Oryctolagus cuniculus: one gene and its partner. The protein of the gene in region 2 purifies or fractionates together with the protein of the main gene of each other region. This does not show direct contact. Links are inferred from orthologs where the notes say so. Each region holds a gene or a part of one and is shown on either strand. Other genes may lie near its edges.

Region 1 (4,852 bases), on a different chromosome or scaffold from region 2:
AAGTCATTTCATTCTTTATATGATCGACTCTTACACAAATTCTTTCACATACCTGTGAAATCTCAACATTCCCAATTTTGAAAACTTCATCGGCCAGAGTGGCAGAAAGCAGCTGGGATATGGTACAGGGCACAATGTGCTGGGCTCGGGCTCTCTGCAAAGCAACGTGTGCATAAATTCAACTAAAAGTATAGTGATGACCACGCATTTAACACCTGCCACCTGCCAAACACATTAAATAAATTGGAACATTAAACTTTCTCTAAAAAAATTTAAACAATTTACTTTCATTTTATTTGGAAAGCAAATAAAGAACTTGAGAAAGAATCTTCCGTCCACTGACTCACTCCCCAAATGCCTGCAATAAGCAGAGCTGGGCTGGGCCAAGGCCAGGAGCCAGGACCTTGAACCAGGTTTCCCTCATTGGTGGTAGGGACCCAAGTCATCCGGGCCATCATCCGCTGCCTCCAGGGTACACATTAGCAGGAAGCTGATACAGAAGTAGAGTCAAGACTTACACACAGGCACGAGGACAGGATGCAGGCGCCCTAGGCAGTATCATCACTGCTACCCCAAATGTCCACCCTGGACACTGAATCACAGGGATCACATAGCTCACAAATGCCACATCTGAGAATTCAAACCTGGGTTGTTCTGACCTCAAAGCTCCCACGGAACAGGTAAGTTGGAGCCACAGGGAGGACTCAAGAAAATGAGGTCAGCGGGGCGCCCAATCCGGAAGAGCCGCTGCCAGAACAGACCTTAACAGAAACCCCAGCTTGGAGGTGAAGGCAGGCTGGAGGTGGCAGCCGGTCACTGAGGAGATGGCACTGGGAAGGGTTTGAGAAATGGCCGGCAGAAGTAACGCTTTGGAACTGGTCTAGATCTCATAATGAAAACCTAACAGAAAGTTGGAAGTACAGTTTCCTTCAGGGCAGATGTGTGGCCATCAGAAGGAGCCCCTGATGCTAATGGGTTAGGAGCCTGGCCGCAGTGGACACTCAGTGAGGAGGGACAGCGTGGGGTGAGAGTGTCTAGTGAGGACACACGAGTCACACCCTAGAGCAACCTGACAACAGTGTAAACCCTCATTTTTGTCTACCACTGCCAAGGGAACGACAGGGTGACAAAGATGAAGCAGGTGGGAAAGGATTTGCCTTCAACACACCAACCAAGGGAGGTACAAATCCAAACATAAACCTCATCTTTTCTTTTTTTAGCATTATTTATTTGAAAAGCAGAATTACAGAGAGGGAGACAGAGAAAGAGGTTTTCCATCAGCTGGTTCACTCCCCAAATGACCACAATGGCAGAGCAAGGCTGATCCAAAGCCAGGAGCCAGGAGCTTCTTCCAGTCTCCCATGTGGTTGCAGGGACCCAGGTACTTGGGCCCTTCTACTGCTTTCCCAGGCCACAGCAGGGAGCTGGCTAGGAAGTGCAGCACCCAGACTCGAACCAGTGCCCATATGGGAGGCAGATGCCGCAGGCGGAAGCTTAACCTTTTATGCCACGGCCGGCCCCCAAACCTGATGCACTAGGGTGTGACATGTGCTACATGGCATCTCAGAAAACTGTATTGCCGATTTCAAGAAGAAGGAACGTCAGGGCTGGCCTCTGAAGCATTATGACACTGAGAGAAACAGTGAATAAGGAATGAGCACTAGAGGCTGGATGCAAGGTGCACCCCCACGGTCCCTGAGGGCACATGCGCAGTAACCACAAACACCACTGAGGAGCAAGAGTTCTAGGGGGGGTGTTGCGGTGCAGCATCCGCTACCAGTCACGGCTCAGCCCCGGCTCCTCCACTTTGAATACGGCTCCCTCCTGAAGTGCCTGGGAAGGCGTGGGAAGGCAGTGGAAGATGGCCTAAGTATCTGGGCCTCAGCCATCACCCAACTGGTGTCAATAGCCAGGGCTGGGCCAGGCCGAAGCCAGGAGCCAGGAACTCCATCTGTGTCCCCACCTGGGTGGCAGCACCCTAAGCTCTTGGGCTATCTAGCATCTGCTGCCTCCCAGCATGTATCAGCAGGAAGCTGATCAGAAGCGGAGGAGCTGGCTAGAACTTGCACTCCGATATGGGACGCAGGCATCTCAGGCAGTGCCACACCACCTGCCCTTCGTGGTTTTTTTTTTTTTTTTTTTTTTTTTTTTTGACAGGCAGAGTGGACAGTGAGAGAGAGAGACAGAGAGAAAGGTCTTCCTTTGCCGTTGGTTCACCCTCCAATGGCCGCCGCGGCTGGCGCGCTGCGGCCGGCGCACCGCGCTGATCCGATGGCAGGAGCCAGGAGCCAGGTGCTTTTCCTGGTCTCCCATGGGGTGCAGGGCCCAAGCACCTGGGCCATCCTCCACTGCACTCCCTGGCCACAGCAGAGAGCTGGCCTGGAAGAGGGGCAACCGGGACAGAATCCGGCGCCCCAACCGGGACTAGAACCCGGTGTGCCGGCGCCGCTAGGCGGAGGATTAGCCTAGTGAGCCGCGGCGCCGGCCACCTTCGTGTTCTTTTTAATAATATTCGCTTAAGGGGTCAGCACTGTGGTATAGGATTTGTGCCGCCATCCCATATGGCCACCGGTTCGATTCCCGGCAGCTCCACTTCCGATCCAGCCCTCTGCTGTAGCCTGGGAAAGCAGTGGAAGATGGTCCAGGTCCTTGGGCCCCTGCACCCATGTGAGACCCTGAGGAGGTTCCTGGCTCCAGTTCGACGCAGCTCCGGCCGTTGCGGGCAATTGGGGAGTGAACCAGCGGATGGAAGACCCCTCTCTCTCTCTCTGCGTCTCTTTCTCTGTGTAACTCTGACTTTCAAATAAATAAATCTTAAAAAAAAATAATATCCGCTTAATAACGGGATATTAATCCCAAGCGAGAATGTTTACGGAAAGCGACTGCAAGACGCCGACGACATGCCAAACCGACCCCCAGGAAGGTTCCGAGCGTTCGTGCCCCTAAAACTTAACAGCCACGGGGAGTAACTCCCTAATCAGATCCCGCGTAACACCGCTCCGTCGCCTCCCAGGGATCGGCTAGCGCTTCGGGACAGGACAGGACAACACAAGCCCCTTTCAACCTACCGATTTCTTTTCGGCCTGAGAGGGCGTGGGCGACCCGAAGCCGCCCGGCGACTGCGTGTAGCCCCCGGTTCCCCCGTAGCTGGAGCTGCTGAAGGTCTCGTAGGAACCTGGCAGAGAACAGCAGGGGCGTGAGCCCCACGCCGCCGGCCCAGCCCCCGGCACCTGCCGCTGGCCGAGCCCCCAGGACCCCCGACCCCCGACCCCCGACGGCGCCCACCTCCGGCGCCCGCCCCTCCCCCTCCCGCTCGCCTGGGCCCCAGGCGCGCCGTCCCGCGAATCCTGCGACTGTCCCCCTCCGCCGCGTCACCCATCGTTACTATTCCACATCTTGGTCTCGAAGCCTTCGGAACAGAGGACCAGGAAGTTCCAGTCGAACGGGCTCGCAGAGCACCTCAGAACCGAGTTGCGGCGGCAGCGCGGTGTCTACTTTACTCTGGCGCCACAAACTTCTTCCCGCGAACGACGAAGCCAGTCACCTTCCAGCACGCTTCTCGCTTCAGCCAATCAACACCCACGGACCTTACGCTTTCTCCCATCGTCTCAGGCCAGGCCTCGGAAAACGCGCACTACGGCCCAACTCGCGCCGGAAGCCCCTACGGCCATCTTTGTTATGGGTAGAATTGGAGGCGCGCAAGCGCAAGCCTGGATCTGCGGGATGCTGATAGGACAATAGCTCAGGGAGACAACCAATTGGAGCCGGCGTTTGGATTAGCGGTTAAGAAGGCGGTTGGAATGCCCACATGGCAAATCAGAGTGCTTCTGGCGTGGAATCCCGCCTCCGCGCCTGAGTCTGGCTTCCTGCGCGCACCAGGAGGGGCGGGGCCTGTTACTTAACTGGGCACCTGCCGCTCACCTGGGAGACCGGCATTACATTTTTGGCCTCCTGACCGTGGCAGGCAGCTGCTCTTTCTGTGTCTGTTTCTCTTGCTTTCTGCATATCAAAAGATAAAATAAAACTTAAGATACTTTCTTATCCAAGAGTTTGTCTCACTTCCGTCAAGCTCGCTCCTCCTTCCGTCACTTCCTTTGTTCGGTGCCCTCCAGTTCCCGCCAAACTCCTGCCAAGTCACCACGTATGGGACGACGCTTTAAACTAACTCCTGCACGCCTAGCTGTGCCCTCGCAGTCCTAACCCGGCACCTCGTGTGGTTGCTCATTTTTTCCTCGTATAATTAATTATCTTTCTGTAATGCCACTCCTTGGTCCTGATTCTCCCCTATATAAGGAAGCGGCACCCTTCTACCTTTGATGCCGCCTTTTTTTTTTTTTTTTTTTGGAAAGCTTTTATTTAAGAAATATGAATTTCATAGGTACAGCTTTTGGATTATAGTGGTTCATCCCCCCATACCCACCCTCCCAGCCCCACTCCTGTCCCACCACCTACTCCCTCTCCCATCCCATTCTTCATTAAGATTCATTTTTAATTATCTTTATATACAGAAGATCAACAGTTTGCACCCACACAGACACACAAAGATAAAGTACTGTTTGAAGACTAGTTTTACCATTAATTCTCATAGTACAACACATTAAGGATAGAGGTCCTACATGGGGGGCAAGTGCACAGTGACTCTTGTTGATTTAACAATTGACACTCTTATTTATGAAGTCAGTGATCACCCGAGGCTCTTGTATGAGCTGCCAAGGCTATGGAAGCCTTTTCAGGTCACAAACTCCGACATTATTTAGACGGCCATAATCAAAGTGGAAGTTCTCTCTTCCCTATAGAGAAGGGTACCTCCTTCTTTGATGGCCCCTTCTTTCCACCAGGATCTCACAGAAAT
Region 2 (5,734 bases):
TGCTCCCACGTGGGAGACTGGGAAGAAGCTCGTGGCTTCGGATCAGCCCAGCTCCAGCCGTTGCGGCCATCTGATGAGTGAGGCAGCAGATGGAAGACCTCTCTCTCTGTCTCTACTTCTCTCTGTAACTGTCTTTCAAATACATAAAATAAATCTTTAGAAAAAAAAAAGTACTGGATAATCTCTAGATTTAGGAGTTGTTGAATAAGAAAAATAAAGAAAGGAGAAAGTAAAGCAGCTATGAGCAGTTTCACCTGTTGGGTTCATATTTCTTAGTAATAATTAGAGGTCTAAAAGGATAAATGCTATTAGAGTTACTAGATTGCTATGTGTTGAATAACTGATTTAAAAACTTATTTCTATTCCACTTAAGCAGTACGACTGAAATTAAAGTTAAAAAAAACTTGATGATAGTTGTATTACAGCAAATAATTTAGCCATCATAATGAACACTCTTAAAATAACCTTATATTTATATTGCTATACAGTTTATAAATAATCTATTTAATTTAACTTACATGATCCAATGAAGACAATAAGTAATACTTCTGGTTTATGGCTAAACAAACTGAAGATGTGAGAGTTTATGTAACTCATCTATAGTCACACAGCATAAGAAGCTTAAAAAACACTATATCTAAAACCAGTGCTGCTTCAGTGATTTTTTTTTTTTTTTTTTGATAGGCAGAGTGGACAGTGAGAGAGAGACAGAGAGAAAGGTCTTCTTTTTCCGTTGGTTCACCTCCCAATGGCCACTGCGGCCGGTGCCATGTGGCCGGTGCACCGCGCTAATCCGAAGGATCTTACATATCAGTATGTGGTAAGATCAGTTTTAATAAGAAAAGCTGTACTATAGATAGTAAACAAATACCAATCACAAAAGAAGTCGTAAAAGTTTAAATTTGTATTAAATGTCTTATTATTTTAGTAGCTTAAAAATGATACAACATATGAATACATTTATGACCAAAAAAATCAAATTCTAGCCAAAAATCAATAAATTTAAACTTATACTTATAAAAATGGTCAGCCCTCCATGAGTCCAGAGCCACAGATTCAGCCAATCACAGACTGAAAATATCTGAAGGAGAAACAACTGTTTTTTGTACTGAACATGTACAAACATTTTTCTTTACCATTTTCCCCCTAAACAAGACAGTATAACAACTATGTACATAACACTTGCCTTAGTATTAGGTTACAAGAAATGTAGAGATTTAAAAGTACCTAGAGGAATGTACCTAAGTTATATGCACACTCTATGCCATTTTATATAAGGAACTTGAGCATCTTTCGTATTTGGCATCTGTAGGGGTTCTAGAATCTATCCTCAGTTCTTACTGTGATTACTGAGGAAATACTGCTACTATCAACTTATATTATGTTCCTTTACTCAAAACATGCATTTCAGAAACAGAAAAGGTGAAAGTCATCTTTGCCGTACTGTTTTTGGAAAAGAAAATGTAAAAAAAAAAACAACATTTTTCATATAAACAAATTAGAGGATTTGGTGGTACTTTTCACTGTTATAAAATAAACTACAGAATTAGTAATATTTACCTGAGGAGCAATTCGATTAACAATATGTGAAATCTCATCACTATCTGTGGTGTAAATCTGTTTTTTTCTTCCTTTACCTGAAGAAACAAAAACATTTCTATACATTTTAAACAAATAAAAAACACATTTAAAAATAGCTACTACTTTCCAGAAAATGATTTTTATTAGCATAGTTTGTGTGACTATGCTTTCTGACATCACATAAACAGAGATAAAATCATATATCATTCTCAAAACCATCGCAATTCAAAAGTTCCTGACATTACTTGATTGAAAATCTAGTTACCTCCTAATCATTTATCAAATACTGATGCACATAAAAAATGTTAATGACAAATTACCTAACTGTTTTGTCATTGGAGAATTCTGATCCCAAAAGATATCATTCTGTCCATCTGGATCATTAGGAGAACTGAATGTAGAAGACAAGTCCATTTTCAGCATTCTTGTTGGTGTCTCATATCTTTCTATATAAAATATGATTAAAATAACAATTGTTGCATTTTAAAGCACCACTCCTGTACTTCAATATACCCCAAAGTCAAAAAGTTGCTTAGACTCCCTTATGGTATAATGTAAACCTGTCTCCCAGAAACAACTGCATTATTTTAACTACAATTGAAATGTCTCTTTCAAAATCAAATTTGGGGGCCTGTGTTGAGCTACTACCTACAACACCAGCACCTCATTTGGGAGCTGGCTCCAGTCACAGTTGTTTCACTTCTAAGTTAATGCACCTGGGAAAGCAGCTAAGAATGGCCCAAGTGCTTGGGGCCCTGCACCCACAGGGAAAGCCTGGATAAACTCCTGGCTCCTGGCTTCTGTCTGGATTAGCTGCAGCCATTGTGGCCCTTTGAAGAGCGAACCAGTGGATGGAAGATTGATCTCTTGCTCTAACTCTGCCTTTCAAATAAATAAATCTCTCTCTAAAAAAAAAAAAAAAAAGAAAAAGAAAAGAAAAGAAAAGCAAATCTGACTTTGTAAATGGTAAATATCTTTAGATAACCTAGTACCTTTATGAATGAATAATACTGTATAACAAAACCACTCCATTTATTGGCGTGCTCCAAGCATTGTGGAACCACCTGCAATTTGTAGATATTTTAAAATATCAGAAAAATATCTCAACAGAAACTGTGTAGCCTTCTTTCATTAACTCTTCCCAACCTACATTAATCATTTCAAACACTGGAAGTTTCACCTATAATCATTTAAATTTCAACAAAGATTCGTTTTCGTTACTTTAATGGGAGTAAATAAAAGTAATGATACTTCTATTTTAAAAACACACTATAGCAAAAGGCTTTTGTATGAGTTCCAGTTTATAACATTTACTAGAAATCATTTTAGATAGGACACCCCAAAGTAATCAGGTTGAAAGGAGCCCTCCGGGGGTTCCCACTCTGAGGTAATTTTACCCACAGGCACTTCCGGTTTATTCCCAACGAGGAGACGCAGGCCAAGGCTTTGAAGAGACCAGCCCCCTGTGTGACTCCCTCTCTGAAGCGAATTAGGACACACAAGTTTAAGAGAAATAATTCCCCTACGAATAAGCTGAGCGTAACAGCCCTATCGCGTTTCTCCAGCTCCGCCACAGCTGGTAACTGGAAGAGCAGCCTAGTAATTAGCCGTCCGCCCCCGAACAGGTAAACCCCACCACACACTCCCGTGGCGGGGACGAGGGGGTGGCCAGCCCTAACTGGGCGGTGCTCAGCCTCGGGGGGAAAAGCCGTGGAGGAGAGAGACAGGGTTCTTCTGGGGCTCGCAGGGGAGAAGCCCAGAGAACACGCAGTGCCAGAGCCACCCCCACCCCCAGTTTGCCGGTGACAAGCGGGGCTGTGGGACTCAGCGCCGCGGCCCAGGCGAGGCGCACTGCCGACGTCTCACCCTTGGGGGTACTTTTACTGCACCCAGCGGCTGCTGGACGCTGCTCTCGCTGCCGCACTGGTGGGCCAGGGCCCTCTCCAGCCACGCGGGACCGGGAGCCGCGGGCCGACTTCAGCCGCCTCCTCCTGGGTTCGACCACCGAGCCGCAGTCCTCAGCCGCCGCTGTTTTGAGCGGCGTGTTCTTCGGGGCAGGACTGTCCCCATATTTCCTTCGTCGACTCATGACTTGCGACCCCCCTCCACCAGTCACTTCTTTCACATTTTGTCACGGGAAGAGTAAAACAACGGCCCTTACAAACCGGAATCCCCGCCAAAGGCCGCCGCCATTTTGGCCGGTGGGGCGCGCGTAAGAGGCGGCCGCTGATTGGCTGCATCCGGACGAGGGGTGGAGCTTTCTCAGCCAAGCCCGGAGCTTGCTTCGGAGGCGGGGTCTGGGTTCAGACTCCTCCGGGTTGGAAGTGATTGGCTGAGCGGTGGTCCAGCCCGGCTAGCTGAGAGTGAGAGTTTGTATGATGGGAAGAAGGTTTAATTCGCTAACAACTGTTTATTGAATTTACAACTATAATTTCATATGAATTAGATTCAGATTACTGTGGGTTTTAGTATTTCTCAAGAAGAGGAAGTATAAGGTATAGATTAGGAAGAAATTTTATATACTTTACATAACTATTATAAGGTGCATGGGAAAATTAAGAAAAAAACCTAGGAAAATAGTGAAAGATTTATGGATTTGAAAGGCAGAGTGAGAGAGAGATCAGTCTTCCATTTCCTGGTTCATTCCCCCAAATGTCCACAACAGCCAGGGCTGGACCAGGCCTAAGCCAGGAGTCAAGCAGTCAAGAACAATTTCTGGATCTCCCATAGGGATGGCAGGGACCCAAGTACTTGAGCCATCAAGACTGCCTCCCAAAGTGTTTATTTAAAAGGATGATGGATTGGAAGACGTGGGGGGGACTCAATGCCAGGACCTCACACTGGGGATGCAGGCATCCCAAGTGCTGACTTAACCTGCTGCACAGCAACATCTGCTGATGAAAAATTGTTAATAAATAAACAGACTTGCTGGGAACTCAATCAGTATTCAAAGATAACTGTGTTTCAATGGATTAGTAACAAATATGAAACTAATTTTTTAAAGAAACGTGATTTATATTCCAATGTCAATTCTTCCCAACTTGATGTACAGATTCAGTACAAATTTGTTCAAAGTCTCCAGCAAGGACATTTGTGTGTATGTGTCTAATGTGACAGATTTATTCTAAAATGTATATGGAGATGCAAAGGGCCAAAAAATATCTCAGAATCTCTTGAAGGTCTCTTGAAGAATAATGAAGTAAATATCAAGACATTATGTAAAGTTAAGGCAGTGTTATGATAAAACAATATACAAATACATGAAAGAACAGATGGTCCTAAAACATACTTCCACATTAATGGATATTTGCTTTAAGAGAAAGATAACCCTCCTGAGCAATGGCAAAAGGGGTTTTGAAAATAAATAGTGCTTGGGCAAATGATGTGGCACATTGGGTTAAGCCTTCTAAAAGGATGGCTACATGCCATATCAGAGTGCCTGGGATTGAGTTCCACCTCCTCACCTTATCCAGCTTCCTATTATTGTACAATATGGAAGGCAGCAGATGATGGTCTAAGTACTTGGGTCCTTTCTACGCAGTAGAAGACCCAGATGAAGTTTGTGGCTCCTGGCTTTGGATTGCTCGAGTCCTAGAGTCCTAGGTGATGTGGGCACTTGAGGAGTGAACTATCAAATGGAAGATCTCTCTTTTTCTCTCTCTCTGACATATTGATATGCAAACATACAGTCATTCTGCCTTTCAAATAAATAAGTAAATAAGTAAACAAACAAATATACTTACAAAAAGGAACATTCTCATATAAAAAATAAATTATGCTTGGATCATTTGATGTTCACATGGAGAAATAAAGAATTGTAATCCCTACTTCAAACTGTATTCCCAAATCAAGTGCACATTAATTATAAACACTTATAAAAGAAAATATTTTATAAGCTGATGTAAATTATTCTCCTGACAGAAAATGAATTTTAAATATATAAAATTGTCAATAAACAAAAAGGAAATAATTATAAATTTGACTACATTATACTGATAACTTGAGAACTTCTGCCTATCCAAAGACATCATTAAGTAGAGTGATAGCAAAGGCACAGATTGAGAGAAGATATTTATAAGATGTGTAAGGAAGGGCCCTTAGATAGGATTTACAAGTGTAAAGAACTATGTTGTGGCACAGCAGGTTCAGCTGC

Evidence for each region.
Region 1: the proteins of ETAA1 (region 2) and RPA2 purify together in Homo sapiens (affinity purification with western blotting; 4 studies listed by BioGRID, with this or other methods). This does not show direct contact. The link is inferred for Oryctolagus cuniculus from reciprocal best matches to the Homo sapiens genes ETAA1 and RPA2.

Annotation. Positions count from the first base shown.
Region 1 is NC_091438.1:143,723,981-143,728,832, reverse strand, and holds the start of RPA2 (replication protein A 32 kDa subunit), read right to left. Parts: upstream 3,712-4,852; 5' UTR 3,396-3,711; coding exon 3,386-3,395; exon of another isoform or gene 3,380-3,385; coding exon of another isoform or gene 3,376-3,379; intron 3,176-3,375; coding exon 3,069-3,175; intron 155-3,068; coding exon 53-154; intron 1-52. UniProt on the Homo sapiens protein: As part of the heterotrimeric replication protein A complex (RPA/RP-A), binds and stabilizes single-stranded DNA intermediates that form during DNA replication or upon DNA stress.
Region 2 is NC_091433.1:135,239,453-135,245,186, forward strand, and holds the start of ETAA1 (ewing's tumor-associated antigen 1), read right to left. Parts: upstream 3,814-5,734; 5' UTR 3,671-3,813; coding exon 3,448-3,670; intron 2,028-3,447; coding exon 1,902-2,027; intron 1,638-1,901; coding exon 1,561-1,637; intron 1-1,560. UniProt on the Homo sapiens protein: Replication stress response protein that accumulates at DNA damage sites and promotes replication fork progression and integrity.